Linked DNA regions of Rattus norvegicus. The protein of the gene in region 1 purifies or fractionates together with the protein of each later gene. This does not show direct contact. Links are inferred from orthologs where the notes say so. Each region holds a gene or a part of one and is shown on either strand. Other genes may lie near its edges. The genes, in order: Btk, Blnk and Ankrd54.

Region 1 (6,693 bases):
CCTTAACAAGTTTTCACTGGCCTTTAGGGACTTTCTAAAGTTTTTATTTGTTTTCTGTTTTCCATGTAAGTGGTTTGGAGATGGACAATTAAACCTCTTTGTCTAATCAAACTTGATTCTTTTTATCAATCCCCGTGTGGAGTAGTTGTGGGGGTATTTTAAAATATTTAATTGACAAAATTGCGTGTGTTTAAATATACACTCATCTTGTATAATAACTGCCACAGTCAAATTAACCCATTCATTATCATCAATAGTTACGTGTATGTGTGTGTGTGTGTGTGTGTGTGTGTGTGTGTGTGTGTGTGTGGTGGAGACACTTAAATCTGTTCTCTTATCCAACTTCAAGTAAGCAATCGAGTATAATACAGTCTCCACGTTGCACATTAAATCTCCAGAAGCTACTCATCTTGTAGTTCACGATTTGTTTAGCACTATTTTTCTGTTTTCGCTATGTCTGTGCTCGTTACTTTCCCCTAAGATGAAGCACCTAGAGCTGGAGACAGAACTCTAGTTAGGGTCTTAAGTTCTCAGTGCTTCAAGCCCAGAAGATACTCACTTTCCTACATATTTTACTTCTAGAAAAAAGGCTCAATGTCACCTTAACTTTTCTCTCAGCCATTTTTGTTTCAAACTTGCCATTTCTTTTAGTTGCTATCAGCAAAGCCCAGGTACCATTTTCTTTTTTTAAAGATGTATTTATTTTTTTTAATATGAGTACACTGTAACCGTCTTCAAACACACCACAGGAGGGCATCAGATCCTATTACAGATGGTTGTGAGTCACCATGAGGGTGCTGGGAATTGAACTCACAGGACCCCTGGGAGAGCAGCCAATGCTCTTAAGCACTGAGCCAATGCTCTCCAGCCCCCAAGTACCACTTAACAGGCATCACAGCCACCCACCCTACATCCTACCTGGAGATATTTGAATTTCAAAGTTGGAATCTAGTTGTGAGACATCACTCTTCACCTTGTAAAATACATTGTTGAGTTTGAACTCTTACACCAAATGATGCAGGTCTTTTTGAATATTAATTACCCTGATTCATCAAGTACACAACCTTTCACTATTTATACAATACATTAATTGGGCTACTTTTTCCCCAGGCTAGCCTTGAACTCATGAGCCTTCTGCCTCTGCCCTCTACAGCATGTCCTACTGGAGTGAACCACTACAACTGGCTGGGCTACTTTCTCTATCTTCCACACAGCTGTTTACTACAGCTGGCACCAAGATCAGAACCTACAGCATGAGTGTGGAGGTCAGGAGAACCGCTAATGAAAACCACTTCTCTCCTTCCATGGGAATTGGACATAAGTCATCAGGCTTGGCAGCAAGTGCTTTACCTGCTGACCCATCTCCATGGGGAACAATTTGAACTTACACTAGCTTATTTGTTCGCACTATGGTATGAGTGAGAGTGCTGGGTAAGTGGCTGTGGTCAAAGGTTCCTACCTTTATTCTGCCTTCTGCCTTTGCCTCCCTAATTTCCCACAATGCTGTTATTTAACTCCCAATTCCCACCCCAAATGGACCTTTAGAAATGATGGAGCATGTGACAAGAAGCATCTAACTGAGGACAAAGGAAGGTATGGTGAGTGTCTATGGTCACTCCATTGATGGCTGGCACAGTTACTGCATGTGACTAAGGAAAGGTCATAACTTGTCAATAAAGCTTGGACCATAAAGGGAGAGCCACATGAACTTGGTGCCCATTGATCTGTACCAGTGAAATGATTTACTGATCTGCCATTCTACAAATGCTTAGAAAAAATCCCAGCGCTTTCAGTTCTGACCCACTTTTGGGATCAGTAATATGTTCCTGTATTAGGGTGTAATATGAAAATGGCCGGTGAGAGAAGACAGACAAGATCAGTCACCAGGGCCTCTACCACCATCACTGGCAAATATCGGCTACATTTCTTTAGAGAATTCTCAGGGAGAAGAGGGAAGCTGGGACACAAACTCAGGACCCGCGGAGGGAACATTCGGACTTCAAAGATCACATCTAGTCTTGTTTACTAGTTGATGGAATCAAAGACAATATTGTACCTTGTTTATCTTGGAGGAAAAAAATGAAACAGAATCTCCTATGTTGTGCAGGCTTTGAACTGGTGATAGTCCTGCCCCTCCATCACCCCAGTAGCTTTAATTATATGTGCGTTTCATCATGGCTCATAAGGCTGCAATTTGAAGGTAGAATATTCAAAAGAACATTTGAAGAAATGGGGAAGGGCTTATATTCAGGCATCTTTATGTGCAGAAGAAAATTGCTTTCTTAGAAAATGACTCAGCAGGGAAGTCTTGTCTCTACCTCTGTCGGGCTTTGTATTTCAGGGTCTCTGAGTGAGACTTCTTTGTCCTACAAGTTGAATTGTGTGGTCCTGACTCTCCCCTACTGAGGCGACAGGAGACCTTAAAGACACTGGCACCTCTCTTCTTCCTGTACTGATCATCCCCCACAGTCCTTTAGGTATGTCATCCCTTTGCTCCAGGAAGGATAGTCTGATGACCTGTTTGCTCAGCCTAGCCCCATCATCTTAGGGGACTCAACCACTCCAGTAATGGGAAGAAAGTGTCTCTCAGAGCTGGGCTCTATGGGTGTAATGCGGGGAGGGGAGGGTTGGAGGGGAGCGGAATAGGGACGGCAGCTCGGAAGCAGATACCATATTGCTAAGAAGAAAAAAAAAGGCATTGGTTTAAGTCAGGAAACAAAAAAAGGGAACTGAGTGGCTGTGAAAGGGTGGGGTTTGCTCAGACTGTCCTTCCTCTCTGGACTGTAAGAATATGTCTCCAGGGCCAGTGTCTTCAGAGATCAAGTCCCACCTTCCAAGTCCTGGCATCTCACTACGTCTGGGAAGCTACCTGCATTAAGTGAGAACTGAGGTGGGTCTGGGGTGAGGCAGGGCTTGGGCAGCAGCCATATTTCCTTCTGTTGGAACCCTCGAAGGTCGGACAGGAAGCATGGCTGCTTCCATCTATCTACTGGTGGAGGAAGCTCATGGAGAGTGGGAGTGTCACAGCAGAAGGCCTGGTATTCCCTTCCAACACTGCAGGGAATATAAGGGTCTTTTGAAGACAGCGACTGTGATGGGGTGGTTATAGGAACAGGAAACCTGAGGTGTCCATCTGAAACGACAGCAAATGTTGGAGGGGAGCTCTGCAGCTCTCGGTGGGTAAGAGACTCCACAGGCAGCAGCCAGGTAAAAGCAAGTCGTTTTTACCAAACACAAAATGGATCCTTGTATCAATGAGAACCTTCGAAGAAGGAATTCCAGGAGGCTGCTTGGTCTGCAAAACCTAAAATAGCTCATGTGTCTCAAACGGCAGTGCTGAGGAAAGGTCTGTGCTACATAGGGTGGAAGCAACTTGTTTTGCCCTGCAACAGGCCAAATAGTACTAGGATAAGGGCTGGCTCATAGGAAGGATTGTGTGGAGGCTGTGGCAGCCTCGTGGTTAATAGTGGGTAGGAAACAGAGCCAGCGGAATGCAGCCTCTGCCTCAGCCAAGACAGTGTGGCCAACCCCTGAGGTCTCCGGAAAGGTTTTTCCTCTTACAGTTACCTACCATGTGCATGCTGTCTTTTCTCTTGGCTTCATTATCTTTCCTCTCGTCTCCTTTCTGCTCTCTCTCCTTCCTCTTCCTTTCCTGGCTAGTATCCCCTGATCCAGAATCAGCACTTAACAGCCTTTTTAAATAGCATCAAATTTGTCCTGCCCCTTTCTCCTCGGGGTCCTTTGTTTTTTTTTTTCTCCTACCCGCTCCCCATCTACCTGTTCCTTTGTTCTGGACCATTACTGCTAGCAGTTTAAGTGTAAATAAATGTAAAGTAGTTAAGGCCCCTGGCAAGAGTAAGTGCTGGATCTCAGCAGTCGTTACTAGTTTGGTTCTACCACAGTCCTGCCAGTCCCCAGTAGGGTTGGCCTAGGGGCAAATAGAGAGAAATGTTTGACTCTGCTTAGATCAAGCTGATGGTGACATTCTGAAACGAGCCTCCAGACATCCAAATGGAATCATATCCTCCTCAGTACCGAGCTCTCAAGATTGGAAGGTTTGACCCATGCCAAGTATTTCCAGGGACGGAGCAGCAGCTGTCCAGAGGCTGAGGTTGGGGTGGGTGTATGCAGCTCAAGGCCTATCCACCCATCCTCTCTGTTAGGTAAATGCCTTAGCTCTGTTCTTTCCCTCATTTTGTTACACTTCTGAAGCAAGGGCACTATTGCCTTTCTCAATTATTTGAAATGAGCCACAAAATGCAAATTCTCATGGAGACCTAAAGTATTACAGATACACGGTATCCCTTAAGCCTTGCCTTATCCATTGTAGACTATGTATTTATCTTTTTATGTGGAAGAAAGGTCTTGCCTACCTAGTCAAGGCTATGTAGCCCAGACTCGTCTCAAACTTGTGGTCCTTCTGGCTTACTCACCTGCATGCTGGGATTACATGAGGACGTTGCTGCATCCACCTGACCTCTATTTTATTTAGGCCGTTTAATCTATTCGCTTGTGCAAAAAAAAAAAAAAAAGATTCCTGTTGCTAATTGCTGTTGATGTTTTGTTTAGAATCTTTGCAAATGCCTATGGGGGAGAAATAGTGTAACTTTCTGTCTACTTGTAGGGTCTTGGTGCAGTTTAAACAGGCACTATGATTTGTTCTTTCCATCTGAGCAAATTTCCTATAAAGTATCTTGTCAGTGATCTGGAGCCATAGCAGGAAGTCACTTCGATATAAGGGGGAAGACATCTCTTCTGAAACCCAAAGTTTGGGCGTTCTCCAAACAGTCATATGTATCGGTTTCTCTACTTTTCCCTGAGCAGTGCTCAGATCTAATTGCTAACCTCTGAAGAGAAGGGACGGCTAGAATTCAGGGCACAACAGAACACAAGAAGAGCTGGAGGTGGTGGCACACACTTGTAATCGCAGCACTAACGAGGCTGAGGCAGGAGGTTTGCCTGGAGTTCCAGACCAACATGAACCACAGAGGAGGAGTGGGAGGGGGGGGAGGAGGAGGAGGAAGAGGAGGAAGAGGAGGAGGAGGAGGAGGAGGAGGAGGAGGAGGAGGAGGAGGAGGAGGAGGAGGAGGAGGAAGTAGTTGTTGTTATGGAGGAGACTGACTTTTTTTTTACTCCAAACCTGCTTGGTTATGCATGAAGTCATCAGGGGAGGGGGAGGGGACACACCTCTGAGGCGCCTGAAACAATTGGGCCACGTGTAACTTTCAGTTTGTTATGGAGGTTTATGTACAGTAATTGAGCATCATCTTAGAACTGTATAAACCTGGGGTGTCTAACCACAGGCATTCCTCCCCACTGCCCACTCTCTGAATGCCCTCTTCAAAGACGCCTCAAAATGCAAAAATTTCAGGTTATTTGAACCCTAGCTTTTCTCACTGCTGACCCTCACCAAAGTGAAAATAAAGCCTGACTCCAAAAAAGAAATTTAGAGAGTTATGAGCAATTGAGTTTTAGACAAATGGAGGATTAAAATAAACTCGTTTAGTGAAAAAGTTAGTGTAGAATAAAGCCAGAGTTTTTTTTTTTAATCACTGAAAGTGACATGAAAATGAAGTAAAGATGTAGAGGAAAAGAACTCAGTCTCTCAAAGCCTGCTATTAGGAGCAGAACTTGGTACACTATCTCTGGAGGCAGTTTGGCAATATGTAGAGAAATGCAAAATGCACACACAATTTTTCACATTTCTGTATATATATGCATATATATTGTGGTGTGTATATGTGTGTTTATGATATGTGTGTCTGTTTCTGTGTACATGGTGTGTGTGTGTGTGTGTGTGTGTGTGTGTGTGTGGTTTTTTTCATGGTGTAGATGTGTATATGTATCTGTGTGTATATATCAGTACCTGTATGGTGTGTGTGTGTGTCTGTATTTGGGTATGTGTGTGGGTATTTGTGTGTGTGTGTGTTTGTGTGTGTGTGTGTGTGTGTGTGTGGTGTGTCTGTATGGTGTGTACACATGCACAAGTATGTGCCGACGCCTTCAGAGAGTGTCAGAGTTACAGGATGCTGTAAGTGGCTTGATATGGATGCTGGGAACTGAACTCCAGTCCTTTGGATAAAGAGCAGGCACCCTTCTTACCTGCTGAGCCATCTCTCCAATTCCTCCTCCTCCTCCTCCTCCTCCTCCTCCTCCTCCTCCTCCTCCTCCTCCTCTTCCTCCTCATTTCTCTTGTTATTTAGACTTTGAGACAGGGTTTCGCTGTGTATCCCAGGCTGGCCTTAAACTCACTATGTGATCCTCCTGTCTCAGCCTCCTGAGTGCTGAGAGGGCACTCATACTTCATAGCCATGGCTAGGAATAATGGTAAAGAAAAATCTTAGAATTGTTTTTTTTTTTTTGGCAAGAAGTATGTTGCATGGCAGGATGAATGGATATATGGATAATTTTAAACATAAGTAACCTATACATGATATGTGCAATATGATTCCAAATCTAAGAAAAGTACACAGGAAAAAACAAAAAGATGCCACGATTCAAATACATCTATATAGGAAGTTTGTGGTTGATTTTTAAATTTTTAGTATCATTAAACTTGAAACATTTTCTACAATGAATTTGCATTATTTTGATCTAATAGGGAAAAATAAATGTTTAACCAAAGGGAAACAAAAAATCATTTGAAAAATAAGCCAGATATAATGGAAATCTTCGTTATAAATCTGTTCACCT
Region 2 (6,693 bases), on another chromosome or scaffold:
CTGTGTTTAGACAGTCATTTCTAGGAGGCATGGGTTACATGTTACTTCTGTGTGTGCTCACGTGTTTCCGCTGCCGACACCTGGAGGTCAGAGGCGACTCGTAGGAGTTCTTTTTATTGTGTAGGACCTGGAAAAACTCAGGAGTCAGACTTGTGGCACATGTTCTTACCCACTCAGCCATCTTGTAGGCTCGTACGTTCAATTCTTCAGTTTGCCTTTATTGCATAAATCGTATTTTTAAAAACTGGGGCTGGAGAGGTGGCTCAGTGGTTAAGAGCATTTGTGTTCTTCCAGAGGACCGGGGTTGGATTCTCAGCAACCACATGGAGGCTCACAACTGTCTGTACCTTAAGTTCCAGAGAATTTAATGCTTTCTGCCCGCCCCCACCCGCTCCCCGCAGAAGTGTTCCAGGAGGTGTGTAGACGTCCATACAGGCAAAGCACTAATCTGCATAAAGTAGTAATAAAATACATTTAAAGAGAAGAATGCTATCTTTGCTATTTATTCGTGGGTGTATAACTGGAGCTCACTGGTTTTCCACTGTTAAATAGTATTTGTTTATGTAAATGTGGCACAAACCACTCATTATTGTCCTGTTAATGGGCAACTGGGCCGTTTCCAGGACTGGGTTTTTGTTTTTCCTGTTAGAAACAGGAAAGGAAGCTCACGTTCAGTGGTGCAGCACTTGCATGGCCTGCACAAGGCCATAAAGGAGGTGGTGTTTCACTGAGCACTCTTGCATGTGACCTCGGTGTATCAACGCAGAAATGCCTTACAGACCCATGACCTACCCCCTGCTCACAAATATGTACACCATTTAGCACTAAACTCTTTCCGATGTGATTGTGCTTTGTGGCTCTCTCAGTGGTGTATAAGAATCCCAGTTGGTAAAAGGCTGTGACTGGGCATCTGTCCTGTTAATTTGTCAATTCAGTCATCTCTGTACCTGCTGTCACAGACTGGGCCTGGCCGCTCTTCAAGGCCTAGGCTTCGGGGTCACCCAGTGTAGTCTCACTCCATTAATAAGTCTGTAGCTGAGATTTGGCTCCCATTCATGCTCAGTCCTTCCTGACAAGCCATGGTGGCTGGAAAGTCACTGGGTCAGGCTTGGATTGCTGGGCTGTGACCCTCCACACAGAGGGCAGAACTACACACACCGGCCTGGAAAAGCAGTTTCTCATTTTCATCGTGTCAGTCTGAATACAGTAAAAAGAAGAAAGACAAATGGCTGTAAAAAGAAAAAGCAGAAGTGTAACCCTCACCCCTCTCTCTTTCTCTGGGGAAAAAAAGAAGTTGCCAGACCAGGTGCTAAGCAGAGTTGGTGGAGAGGAAAGTCAGTGGGTCAATTGGGAGCACTTTACAATAATTCAGAGGGAACAAAAGGCTATTATCAACCCATTGGCCGGACTTTCCTGACCCTTGATGACATCAAACATGTTTTTCCTCGTATTCCTTTCGGTTAAGAACCGTGGGAGGGGCAGGGCAGGGAACTGATCTCCTTCAGGATATATTGCAAGAAAACTGAACTGCCTGACTAGAGAAAGCCAACAGCTAGCTACAGGAAGCAAGCGTTTGCATTTTTCTCATGATGACCTACTCTCCTGCAGAAGGACCTCACTCTTCACCCGCTCTAAAGCTTCAGCTCTCGGACGTCCTGAAGAATGGGAAATTCAGATATAGAGCAGGAATGAGAACAGTCAAGGATTCGGAAAGATAGAAGGACTTCTGTTTGAACAAAGAACCCAGGGGAGAAGAAATCCACTTTTGCTCTCCATCTCCTGTCCTCCCTTCTCTGCCTGGTCCGCCTTCCCACTTTCTCTTCAGCCAGGCCTTGTAGCTATAACATGAGAGATAACCAAAGTCCCTCTACTTTGTTCCCCCAACTCCCATGCATTCTTTAGACCCAGGTCAATGGTCCTTTGATAAAGTTTGGAACATAATCTCCTTTCACAAAGGTGACCAGGACATGCCAGGTGACAGGAGTTGGGGTGGGGGTGTTCGGGTAAAAAGGGGAGAAAGAACACCCCGCTCTCATTTTTTAAAAAAATTCTTAGCCCTAGACTGCTTTCTGCTCTTTAACTCAGCTAAATCAGAAGCTTGCAGAGTAGACAGAGGAATTGGGGGTTCTTGAGGAGGGCAGCAGAGCTGTCTGGATGGGGTCAGCGGCAGGTGTGGGATGCATGATGTTCGGTCTGATGAGAGGCCACAGACGCCGAGGGGAGTTAGGAGGTATCTTCCTGATGTCATGTGCTTGGAAATTGCTGGGTTTGCTCTCAGCTGACTTCTGAGTATATCTTGGCTTTATTTAAGAATGTCAAGCTTTTGACGAGGCAACTCCTGACTCCACATAGCGTAGGATGGAGTCACCTATCTCTACCCCTGAGTGACCTTGACCTCGCACAAAGAATTACCCATCACAGTTTAAATGACCACTGCTGTGACCTTGGCTCCAAGAGCTGTCCAATTCGTGTCTCTGTTATCTAAGAAGAAAAGGCTTCTTCACGGCTTTATGCAAATGAGCAGAAAGCCCCCAACAGTCATCCAGATATCATCGATTATTCAGCTTTTCCTGGTACCTGAGAAGTGGCAGGATGACTCTGGCCATCTGCTGAAAACAGGGACTACCTAAGGTTTGGGACAAACAGGAAGTCGTGCTCAGTCAACCAGAAGCTTATTCCAACCTGGCAACAAACCTGATCATAAAAGAGAGCTGCTGAAAAGGGATTTGCATGCCCAATAAGGTTTCACTACTGAAGTTTACACAACGCACAGTAATCATCCAGGCTGGCTGACTCGCTGGATCACATGACCTCGTAGAAACACGAAACTTGGCGATGTGCTCCAGCGAGTTTTACTTCCCCTGTGTAGGGGTGTTTGCCAGCAGCCTGCGGTTGCTCTCAGAAGTCAGTTCCAGTGGCATGAGCCCTTGAGGCCAGAGTCTTACCATGCTGCTCCCCAGGAAGCCCAGGAGCTGCTGACATCCCTCTGGACAGCGACTCCACAGCCCCTCTCAAGAAAAATGGACAAACTGAATAAAATAACTGTCCCTGCCAGTCAGAAGCTGAGGTAAGAGTTTCCCTTTGGATCTGTATTCCTCTTCTCTCCCCTTTAGTGCTCCTCCAAGGGCTCAGAGGTACCAAAACCATGGAATACTTGACCAGTTCCGAGGAATTGGTTGGCAGTGGCGATAGGGAAGTAGGTCAGGTTTTTAAAGAAATGTGTAGGAAGAGTGAAGGGACCTGCTTTGGCTGGGTTTTTGCCAGCGATAGGACAAAGGGTGAAGCTCTGGAAAGGCAAGAAGATAGAAAATTTGATGGCACACATGCTACCCACAGTCAGCTTTCTGGGTCTGAATAAGATGCTGCTGGGGGAAGGGCTTGTGCACTGCGTGAAGAGCATGTGTGGTCACTGTCAGTCACTGTCTCTTGTTTGTTTTGTGGATGTTCATCCTAAGTTTACTGGGGGAACCACAGGCCTTTCTAAAACCCTCATGACTATCTATTTTAAAAAGTGCTTAAGGGCCAGTCCACTAGCTCATTGGACAAAGTGCTGATCATGCGGGCCTGGTGACTTAAGGTCTATGCCCACAGCCCAGATAAAAATGGAAAGAGAGAAGCAACTCCACAAGGCTGGCCTTTGACTCCATACTCACTGCCTGGCACGCGCATTCCCTGACTGGTCATGCCCACACACATTTCACACATGCACATATACTAATGATAACAACAATCATTTTAAAGGCAGCGTTGGCAATTAAAATATACATATATGCTAACAAGAATAAGCCAGCAGTGGCCTAAGTCACAAGTCAAGAGACCATGCAAAGACGACTTCCCAATTTTTGAGTTTGGAGAACTTTGTCTTTTGGAGTGGTGCTGATGATGACTTTCTGAGGCCAGAACTCAAAATGTTTAAGGACGTGTTATATTCCGTGTGCAGACTGGAACTTTGGACTTTCATGAGGTCATACTTAGGAGCTGGAGAACTGGAGATTCTGAGACAAATGACAAGAAAAGAATATAGAGTTGGTAGAAGGACAGTCTTCCACAGCAGCATGTGGGTCTTCTCACTCTAAGGGGTTTGGTAAGAGGCAGACTGAGATGTACTAAGGGGTCCAGATCAGAGGGCAGCATCGGCTGGTCAGCCATTTTATAGAGCATGCCCAGGAGAGCCACAGAGTCCTTAACATGGAAGTCAGAAGGTCCCACAGGCACCCTACGTCTTTTGCTGGGCATCTCATGGAGGGGAGGGGTGGAGAGGAAACAGTGGAAATAATAAGTTGCAGAGAAGTTTTCATGAAGACGATGCTTTAAGAGTTAAGCTTTTGAGAGGCAGCTGAGAAAAAGCAGACGGAGAACTGGGGGGACAGGTTACACGCTGAGGAGGCTGCAAGCTCACATGCACAATCTGATGTAAGCGCAGTCTCAAATGTGCGCTAGCGAGGAAAGTTCTGCCCAGCAGAGGCCATGGAGTGGAACGTATAGGGTGAGAGGGCCCTGGGACATTGGTCCTGTCTGGTGGGGCCAGCTGAAAAGAATGAGGTGGGTGGTGTCTAACCATACAGAGTTGGGCAGTGTTTGTGCTGTTAGAGAGAGAACTGGCATGGTTAAACTGAAGGCACGAGTTCTGGGGGTGCTGGGAATGTTAGGATCCCAAGCGTCTAGAGTTAGGGGCACAGCAGTGAGGAGGGACATGCAGGGAGCGGTCAGATGTGGCAGAGAACTGACAAGGTCTCGTGCAGGGGCTGCTCTGAGCAGAGGTCCCAACGGTCCCTAACCTAAAGCCGCCCAGAGCCTCAGAAGGTGCTCCAGGGAACCTAGATGAGAGTCAAAACAAAGAGAGCAATAGAATTTTAATCACCTTAGGATCCCTCCCCCATGGGACAAAGTCCAGTCTAATCATGGAGTGGGTGGTGGGCATTATGTAATCATATTATAGGCTAGACGGCCAAAATTATATTGCAGATAATCACATGCTACGCCCATCTGCTGAGAGCAAAGCAACGTTTTCCTGCACTTGGTTACTGAGTTGTCTGCCCAGACTCAGCCCATTTTGATGAGATGTGCAGTCAGATTGCAAAGAAATGCGACTGTAAACGAAACAACTCAAAACACCACCCAAAATGTTTTCTGTAAATAGGTGACCTGGTGAGAAGTTAGCAGGGGGGCGGGGGAGGGTTGGGCAGCGTTTGTTCTGTTACAGAATGAACAGGACGGACTGCATAGGGGAAGCTGAAGGCACAGGTTCTGGGCGTGCAAGGAACTTAAGGATCCCAAGCATCTAGAGTTAAAGACACTGAAGTGAAAAGGGAGACTGTGTGCCCTCTCCTGACTGGTCAACAGCAGTTTAGAAGGTTGCCCAGAGAGTTACTTGGCTCCAGATTGCAATGTGGTGTTTGGAGTCTTTCAAACCCATCAAAGCCTATAGAGGAGTGTGATCAAAATGAAGCCAGGCAAACAGCAATGCTGTAATAAAGCCATACAGTGAGTATTCTAGTCACGAAAGGGGCTCAGTGGAATGACCCAGACCCAGGGGCTACATGTCCAGGTCTCGAGAGAGACTGGAAGCAGAGGGATGACCAGGAAGAGAAGCAGAGTGAACCAAGGAAGCAAACACAGGCAGGATTGTGTGTGTGTGTGTGTGTGTGTGTGTGTGTGTGTGTGTGTGTGTAGGAGATCCTCAGTGTGAGGATGGAAGTCTCCCAAGGCACCCCGGGAGGTACTCACTGACCGATGTTCCATGTACTGGAACTGAGGCAGTAGAGGTGGCCAGGAATGTACGGGGCCACGTCTTTGTCAACATATATTTCCAGACTTTCATTACTTTGTACTTAGCCATGATTTCCCTTTGAGTTTTAGAAGGTAGTGACATCATCACAAACTCATCAGAGACCCAGGTTCTCAGTTCTTCAACATCAAGCATCCCTAGGCGCGCACAAGTACCATGTTACTGAGTGAGCATTTGGGAATCTACAATCCTGAAGAGCCGTTCTCTTTGGGTTACTGTTACTAACTTGAAAATGAAATTTTACATTTTAAACAGCTTCCCCGATAATGGATCATTTGTACTTGGGTACTTCCCTCTGTAACACACACAAACACGAACCCATTTGTTTGTCAACATGGAAAATGTCTTTGACATAAGGCTGGTCAAGCCAGGCTTAAGTTTACTTCATTTTCTTGGCCCCAGTTTCTTCACCTGTAAGACCACAGAGGTTATAATAATAGCACCAATGTCATAAAGCTATTGTTGGAATTAAATCAATTGTCCCATGAAGCAACTGACATTATGACCCTGGTGCCATAATTACTGGGTATAAAAATTAATAGTTATTAATGTAGCCTTCATGATTGTTCTTATCAATTTCGTAGCTTGCAAATGACTTTCAGGACATAAGCAGAAGACTTTATGCTGGCCCCTGGCATGTCTCCTGCTAGTTTCATTTCTTCTTTCTATTAGAACATTTTTGTTATTGAGTCTGGCATCTGCAGCTTTTAGCTTTGCATGGATTGTAGACAGGGCACACATGTCTCTCAGGCCTCGTCTTAGTAGCCAGTGAAACTTCTCGGGACAGAAGGCTCTTGTCACAGGTGTCCAGGCCTTGTTGGCTAGGGTCTTACCTTCAGATTTTCTCTGATAGACTCTGGGATATTGCTCTCTCTTCATGTCCTGAAATTTTCCATTAGGGTTTT
Region 3 (6,593 bases), on another chromosome or scaffold:
TGGCCGCCTGACCAGTGTTGATGATTAACCTAGAAGCCAACTTCCTTTGGCAAGCCCTCCCTTCACTGTCTGCATAGCCACTGGGGGAGTTAGCAACAGATGCAGTGTGGGACCGAACCTGTGGTAACAGGGATTCAGGACCTCCTTGTTCCTGGAGGCCCAGGCTTCAGGAATTGATTGGTCCCTGTTTCCTGGAGATTCTGGGTTACATAGCTCTTCATATGCAAAGCAGAAGCCCAGTCAGGGGCAAGGAGTCCTTGGTGTGCCCGGCAGCCCAGAGGACCCTGGCAGCCCTTTATGCCTCTGCTGCCAGGGCACCAGAGCCGGATTTCCCAATTTCTCTTAGTGTGGATTTTTCCCCAGCATAGCAGTGCACGCGCCACACAAACCTTCCTCTGTTCTGGGGTTCCTGTCCCTTCCCTAACAGCCAGAGGGCTGGTAACTAGGCCTCAAGTCCTTCCAGGAGGTCTAGGGTGAGGAGCCCAGAGATGCAATGCCTGAGGAACTGGTTCCTTCAGTCCTGCCTCTGCTCGCTCTTGGTCTCCAGCCTGCCCAGGTCTCCAGCTCCTGCCCCAGTGGAGCCCTAAGAATAGAGAAAGATCAAGTGAGCCCCTAGGCCCCAAGAAGTCAGGGTCACCTGCAGAGTTGGTCACTCAGGCAGAGGAGAAAGTCTGCATCATACACCCAGCCCCTCCCTCTTGTCACTCAGCAGGGACAGCAGCTGCCCCTCCCCATCTTGAGGCCACTGAAGCACTTTGCCCTCCCAACCCTACCGACATAGATTTTGGGTTTTCTCTCACAAGGAGCTGGGGGTAGAAATTCTATCCAGTTCTTCCTCAGGGTCTGGGGAGTGGCTGAGTTTCAGCTCAATACCAAGCTGGGATTTGAAGAAAGGCCCTCCTTGGCTAGTAGCCAGGGCTTCCAGCTTGGAGAGAAAGTGGGGCAGTGCCAGGCTGGACATGGGCTGGGAGCCTAGAAGCCATTGGCCAAATCCCTGTCTGGAAGGAGGACCTCCTAGGTGAGGATGTGTCCCCCCCGTCCCCCCCTCCCCCCAGCCCAGGAATGTCTCCTTCATAGGCCAGACAGGTTCAATAGACTTGAGACCTCTGCAATGAATCTGGCCCCACTACTTCCTCAGTTCCTAGTGCCACAAGAAGCCACCACAAACCAAAACCAAAAATGAACCAAAAAACAACCACCAGTTCAACCAACAGACTTCTTTTCACAATTCTGGAGGCCAGAAACAAAAACATGTCCAGCTGAGCTCTGTCTGGTGCAGTTGTCAGCAGAGCCAGTCCCTGCTGGAGGCTCCGAGGGACCCACTGGCTGTCCTTAGCCAGCTCCTGGCTTCTTCCTCCATGACTCACGTCCACATGGCATAGGTCACCTCCGGCCTCCTCCCCAGGGCTACCTGGGGTGATATCCAGTCCACCTAGGTGATCCAGAATCTTCTCCCCACTAAAGACCTCTAGTTATATATCTGTATAGCCTCTTATCAAAACACCCAAGGCCTAGAGGATCCTGGGATAAGGACCTGGGCCCATGACCCACTATCAACCACTGATAAGTAGGCTGTGAAATGGACTCCCATGTGTAGTGTTCCAGTGACTGGGAGAGAAGGTGTTACAGATCTTTCTTTGGGCTAAAAAGGGTCCTTCCTAATCTTATGAAGGCCTAAGCTTGAGCAATGTCCCTCTTCTGCTCAGAGACACCCCACAGTGCAGTGTTTCCTTGAAAGTCAGGAGCAGGGCTAAACTGAAGTGCTGGTGTAAGGAGCAGGGCGAGCTTAGAGAACAGAGCAGCCCTGGTGGCCTCAGAGCGGCCTACCCAAAGCCAGGTGGAGGTAATGGAAATCCACGGCTGGGAAGAGAGAGGGCTCTGAGGTGGGCTGAGGGACAGGGAGGCCACAGGAGGAGTGGTGTCTGCTAGGACAGCACGTGTGGGCCTGGAGTGTGGCTACAGAGCTGGTATTATGCAGCAGGAGCAGGGGCTGTGGTCCTGACCCAGGGAGATGTTGCACATTGTCAGTTCTGTCCTCAGCATCTCAGGGCAAGGGCAAAGTGGAACTCCAGATCCCTTGGGCTTTCCCTGTAGCATGTGCAGAGGGCAGGAGTGCGGCGGTAAAGCAAGAAGCAGCCTTCCTTGCTACCTCTTCTCCATACTCTGCATCTGCAGACTGAGGGAGGTGAAGCTGGCCAAGAGGTCCGTCACTTCATCCACCTGCAGGGAGACAGTCAGGTTGAACCAGGGGTATCACAATGGGCACTGAACATGGGCACTGCCACTCTTCAGGGCATGCAAATGCTTCCCCTCCATGGTATTTCAATGAGCAGGATGGGGGTTTGAGACCTTTGTGTTGTGCTCAGCAGAGTCCCTGACCAGTGAAGGGCCCTGTCACCCTTTCTCTCTGACTATGGGTTCATCCTAGACATCACGTGGTCTGGTACTGCCCCCAAGAGCAGACCTGAGCACACACCAGCCACTTCAGCTTCAAGGACATAGACAGAGGCTGTGAGGGGCTATGGTAGTAGCAATACCCTAGGTCCCATCTTTTTTTGATACATGGGTCTGGCTGCATTGGAGCAGAGCTGGACTGGCTGAGGCTATTGCTTGGTCCTGTGGCTGAAGCTCACCTGTTCTTTGGTACTTGTCATCTGGAGGCGGGTACAGAGGTCATCTAGCCGTTCACGCTGTTCATGTCGCCCCAAGCGCTCCAGGTACTCCCGTAGCATGTGGATGATCTGGAAGGAGATAGGAAGTCACAGGCTAGGAGGCAGGCACAGGCAAGTTGCTACTATTAACATAAGCACTGGGAGTTGGTTCTAACGCTTTGTCTATTTCATCTCCTGACAGCCAAGCTTCCACTGAGGGTCCCTGCCCCAGCTGGCTTAGATTGATAGTAAAGATTTGCCATGCAGCCAATGGCTGGGCAGGGAGACAGGGAGGGACTTTTAGACTGCTGCATGGCCAAGGGATCCAGAGAGAGGGAAGGAGGAGGAGAATCACCATGACCTGGAGGGAGAAGGATTAGATCTAAGAGCTACAGTAGAAAATTCATCCAGCAATGTAGGTGGAAAGGGAAAATGCCCCTATAGGGGGGGCTGGCCAGAAGGTAATGGGGCAGCAAAGATAAAACAGATTTAGAAAGTGTTGGTGGGGGGCTGGGGATTTAGCTCAGTGGTAGAGCGTTTACCTAGGAGGCGCAAGGCCCTGGGTTCGGTCCCCAGCTCCAAAAAAAAGAACCCCCCCCCCCAAAAAAAGAAAGTGTTTGTGGGGAAGATTAGAAATGCCCACCCATTGAGCTAGTCAAGGCATATCCAAATTAGCTGGTGTGTGCGTGTGTGTGTGTGTGTGTGTGTGTGTGTGTGTGTGTGTGTCTGTATTTGCAAATGCAGAGAGTTCTTGGGTGGGTGTATCATGAGACTGATCCCCCCTGGGAGTCAAAGTGGTTTAACTAACTCACTACTATACATAACAGAGAAGGGATGTTGGGGTTGGTAAGATCAGGAGCCCTAGGCCAGAGGCAGGCAGTCTGGTAAGCATGGTACCCATCCGAGGAGGACTCACTCACCTGCTTCACCTCTAGGCGGACGGCTTCCAGGCACTGAGAATGACCCTCCTGCAGGATGTTCAGTTTCGACTTGGCCAGGTGTAGGGGCGTGCGGCCAGCTCTGTCTAGGGCATCTACACGGGCCCCTGTGGGGATAGGCAGAGGAAGCATGCTGGGGAGGAGATGGAGAAAAGGGCAGGAGACTGGGAAGGGGTCCCCCACATACCTCCTCGAAGCAGTGTGGTGATGACAGGAACATGGTTGGTGCAGGCCGCTGTGAAAGAAAAGTGATGTAAGAACCAGGACTGTGGGGATCAAGGGAAGAAAAGCTGAGTCCTGAGTGTGGCTGTGCTGTGTTACCTCCTGAGACAGTGTCGCCAGGGCAGTATGCCCTATTGAGTAGGGCTTAGATCAAGTCCAGTTTACCCTGTTTAGCTGGGGAAACTGAGGCATGGAGCTGAGACTCACTGTAATTGTTGGGGTGAATCAACAGCAAGGCTGGGGCAGCCAAAGGGCTCACAACCCACTTCCTAGCAGAGCTGTGTGCAGCCAGTCCAGGGTGCACAGCAGTCCTGCCAGGTGCACAGTCTCCTGGGAATGGATGGTCCGTGGGACAGAGGCTGTGGGAAGTGCATACTTGTGGTGCAGGCCCTGCCAGAATGCTAGGGGATCCTGCTGGGAGCCTCCTGAAACCTAAGCTTTACATGCTAGAAGTCTAGCTTGTGGTGGACTTACCCAGGTGCAATGGGGTGTTGCCCAGACCATCCTGTTGGTTGGGGTCGGCCCCATGGTCCAGGAGAAGCTGCACTGAAGACAGAAAACACCACAATATACTGTTAGAGGTTTCCTCCAACTAATCCTCACCCAGAGCCAGCAGAGGTCTGTTTGGAGTGTGGAGAAAAGTAGAAACCGTCTGGTCTCTCCCTGTCCTGCCACTAGTGTCACCTAGCCATATAGGCCTTGGATGACCCCACTCCTCAGGGATAGACCTCATCTTATCACTTCCAACGACAGGGCCACCTATAACAAATACCAGGCTGAAGACCGTCATGTCCTTTTATTTGGGGCTCAGAGCAGTCACTTTGCCAACCTGTATCTGTAGGAACACACTTGTAGATGTCCCTAAGTTTGCAGATGAGATCAGGGTGTTCAGTAGTAACTGGGACATCAGAGGTCAGAGGTTAGGAGTCAGAGGTTGGTCTCATTGCTGACTATGCCTTTCTGTCTTCAAAGAAACCAGCAATCTCTACTTCAGTGGAATGCAGAATCCAGACATGGCTCCCCATGTTGTGGCGTGCATTAAATAACTTACTTGATCTACAGGGTGCAGGACCCAAGGGTCAGGAACCAAGGACTCTAGGAGGGTCTCTTGGCCTCTCAGTCCTATCTGACTGAGGAGAGGTCTCCTAAATGTATTTCCTATTCCCCTGCAGTGTCTAGGCGACAATAGACGATGCTGCACTCTGGGAACTATCTTCCTTCTTTAGCAGCCTTAGGCTGCCTCATGGTGACAGAGCTTGCCAGTCACCAGCTAGAATCACCCTGGTTAACAACCAACATTGTACAGGGAGGCCAGGCTAAGTTTCACAAAAGAACACAAGCTAATTCCAGAGGGACTGATCATAGATTAATTGTAACAGTCACCTTTCTAGAAGGAAATAGGAGGCTATCTTTGTGGGGTAGGCAAAGATTTGTAAAGAGTCATACACAGAAAAAACCCACTAACCATAGGAAAGGGGCAGCACGGAGACATATCTGGGCCTGGTGGCTCAGGTTTGTGATTCTAGCTCTTCAGGGGTCTGAGGCTAGAAGGTTTCAAGTTCAAGGCCTACCAGGGTTGTAGCATGAACTCAAGGCCAGTTTGGGCAACTTACTTAGATTCTTTCTTAAAATAAAAAGGAAAGCTGGGTGGTGGTGGCACACAGCTTTAATACCAGCACTCAGTAGGTAGAGGCAGGCAGATCCCTGATTTCAAGGCCAGCCTGGTCTACAGAGTGAGTTTCAGGACAGCCAGGTACACAGAGAAACCCGGTCTTGAAAAACCAAACCAAACCAAACCAAAAGAGGGCTAGTGTGGTATATTTGCTTGGCCCATGGAGTGGCACTGTTAGGAGGTGTGGCCTTGTTGGAGAAAGTGTGTCATCTAGGGGATGGGCTTTGAGACCCTCCTCCTAGTTGCCTATAAGTCAGTCTTCTAGCTGCTTTCAGAACAGGATGCAGAACTCTCAGCTCTGCCTGCCCCATGCCTGCCTGGACACTGCCAGGTTTCCTGTCATGATGATAATGGACTGAATCTCTAAGCCAGCCCCAAGTTTTATGTCCTTTGTAAGAGTTGCCTTGGTCATGGTGTCTCTTCACAGCAGTGCAAACCCTAAGAGGGCCAGGGATGTAGCTTAGTGGCAGAGCACTTGCTAACATGACTGAAGCCCCTGGGTTCAATCTCCAGAACCACAAAAAGAAAGAAAAAATGGATGGCCCAGGTTTGTGGACTCCTAGCATTCTGGAGGCAGAGGCAGGGGGATTAGTTATTCTAAGCAATACAGGAAGTCTGATAGCCTGGACTACATGAGACCCCATTTCAAACATACAAATACAAACACACACACACACACACACACACACACACACACACACACACACACACACTGTGTTCATTCAGCAAGGCCCTCTGTTTATTAAATGACTACTTGCCAAGCCTGCCACGGTGGGACACATCTGTAATCCTAGCACTGAGGATTCCCTTCACAAGCCCTCCTTATTCCAAACCCCGGGTGCCCTGAGGCATGCAGACAGCAATTCCTTCCCCACTGCTTAGAAACTGTTGCTGCCTTTGACCAGCTCCTGTTGCTCCAGAACTCACCAATCTGGTCATTGCCATTGCAGGAAGCAAAATGGAGGGCTGTTCGGCCTTTGTCATCAGCTGCGCAGGGATCCGCACCATCTTCCAGAAGCTGCTGCACTGACAACCACGATGGGGGAGGGAGGAGAAGGGTGACAGAGCAGGCGTGTTAGCTATGCTGCAGTCCCAAGGGATGGACGATAC

Evidence for each region.
Region 2: the proteins of Btk (region 1) and Blnk purify together in Homo sapiens (affinity purification with western blotting; 5 studies listed by BioGRID and IntAct, with this or other methods). This does not show direct contact. The link is inferred for Rattus norvegicus from reciprocal best matches to the Homo sapiens genes BTK and BLNK.
Region 3: the proteins of Btk (region 1) and Ankrd54 purify together in Homo sapiens (affinity purification with mass spectrometry; 4 studies listed by BioGRID and IntAct, counting the BioPlex papers as one, with this or other methods). This does not show direct contact. The link is inferred for Rattus norvegicus from reciprocal best matches to the Homo sapiens genes BTK and ANKRD54.

Annotation. Positions count from the first base shown.
Region 1 is NC_086039.1:102,051,211-102,057,903, reverse strand, and holds the start of Btk (tyrosine-protein kinase BTK), read left to right. Parts: upstream 1-2,760; 5' UTR 2,761-2,890; intron 2,891-2,963; exon of another isoform or gene 2,964-3,207; intron 3,208-6,693. UniProt on the Homo sapiens protein: Non-receptor tyrosine kinase indispensable for B lymphocyte development, differentiation and signaling. Binding of antigen to the B-cell antigen receptor (BCR) triggers signaling that ultimately leads to B-cell activation.
Region 2 is NC_086019.1:249,766,754-249,773,446, reverse strand, and holds the start of Blnk (B-cell linker protein), read left to right. Parts: upstream 1-2,913; 5' UTR 2,914-3,020; coding exon 3,021-3,067; intron 3,068-6,693. UniProt on the Homo sapiens protein: Functions as a central linker protein, downstream of the B-cell receptor (BCR), bridging the SYK kinase to a multitude of signaling pathways and regulating biological outcomes of B-cell function and development.
Region 3 is NC_086025.1:112,495,995-112,502,587, forward strand, and holds the end of Ankrd54 (ankyrin repeat domain-containing protein 54), read right to left. Parts: intron 6,510-6,593; coding exon 6,411-6,509; intron 4,358-6,410; coding exon 4,286-4,357; intron 3,825-4,285; coding exon 3,777-3,824; intron 3,697-3,776; coding exon 3,572-3,696; intron 2,742-3,571; coding exon 2,634-2,741; intron 2,221-2,633; coding exon 2,146-2,220; 3' UTR 1,203-2,145; downstream 1-1,202. UniProt on the Homo sapiens protein: Plays an important role in regulating intracellular signaling events associated with erythroid terminal differentiation.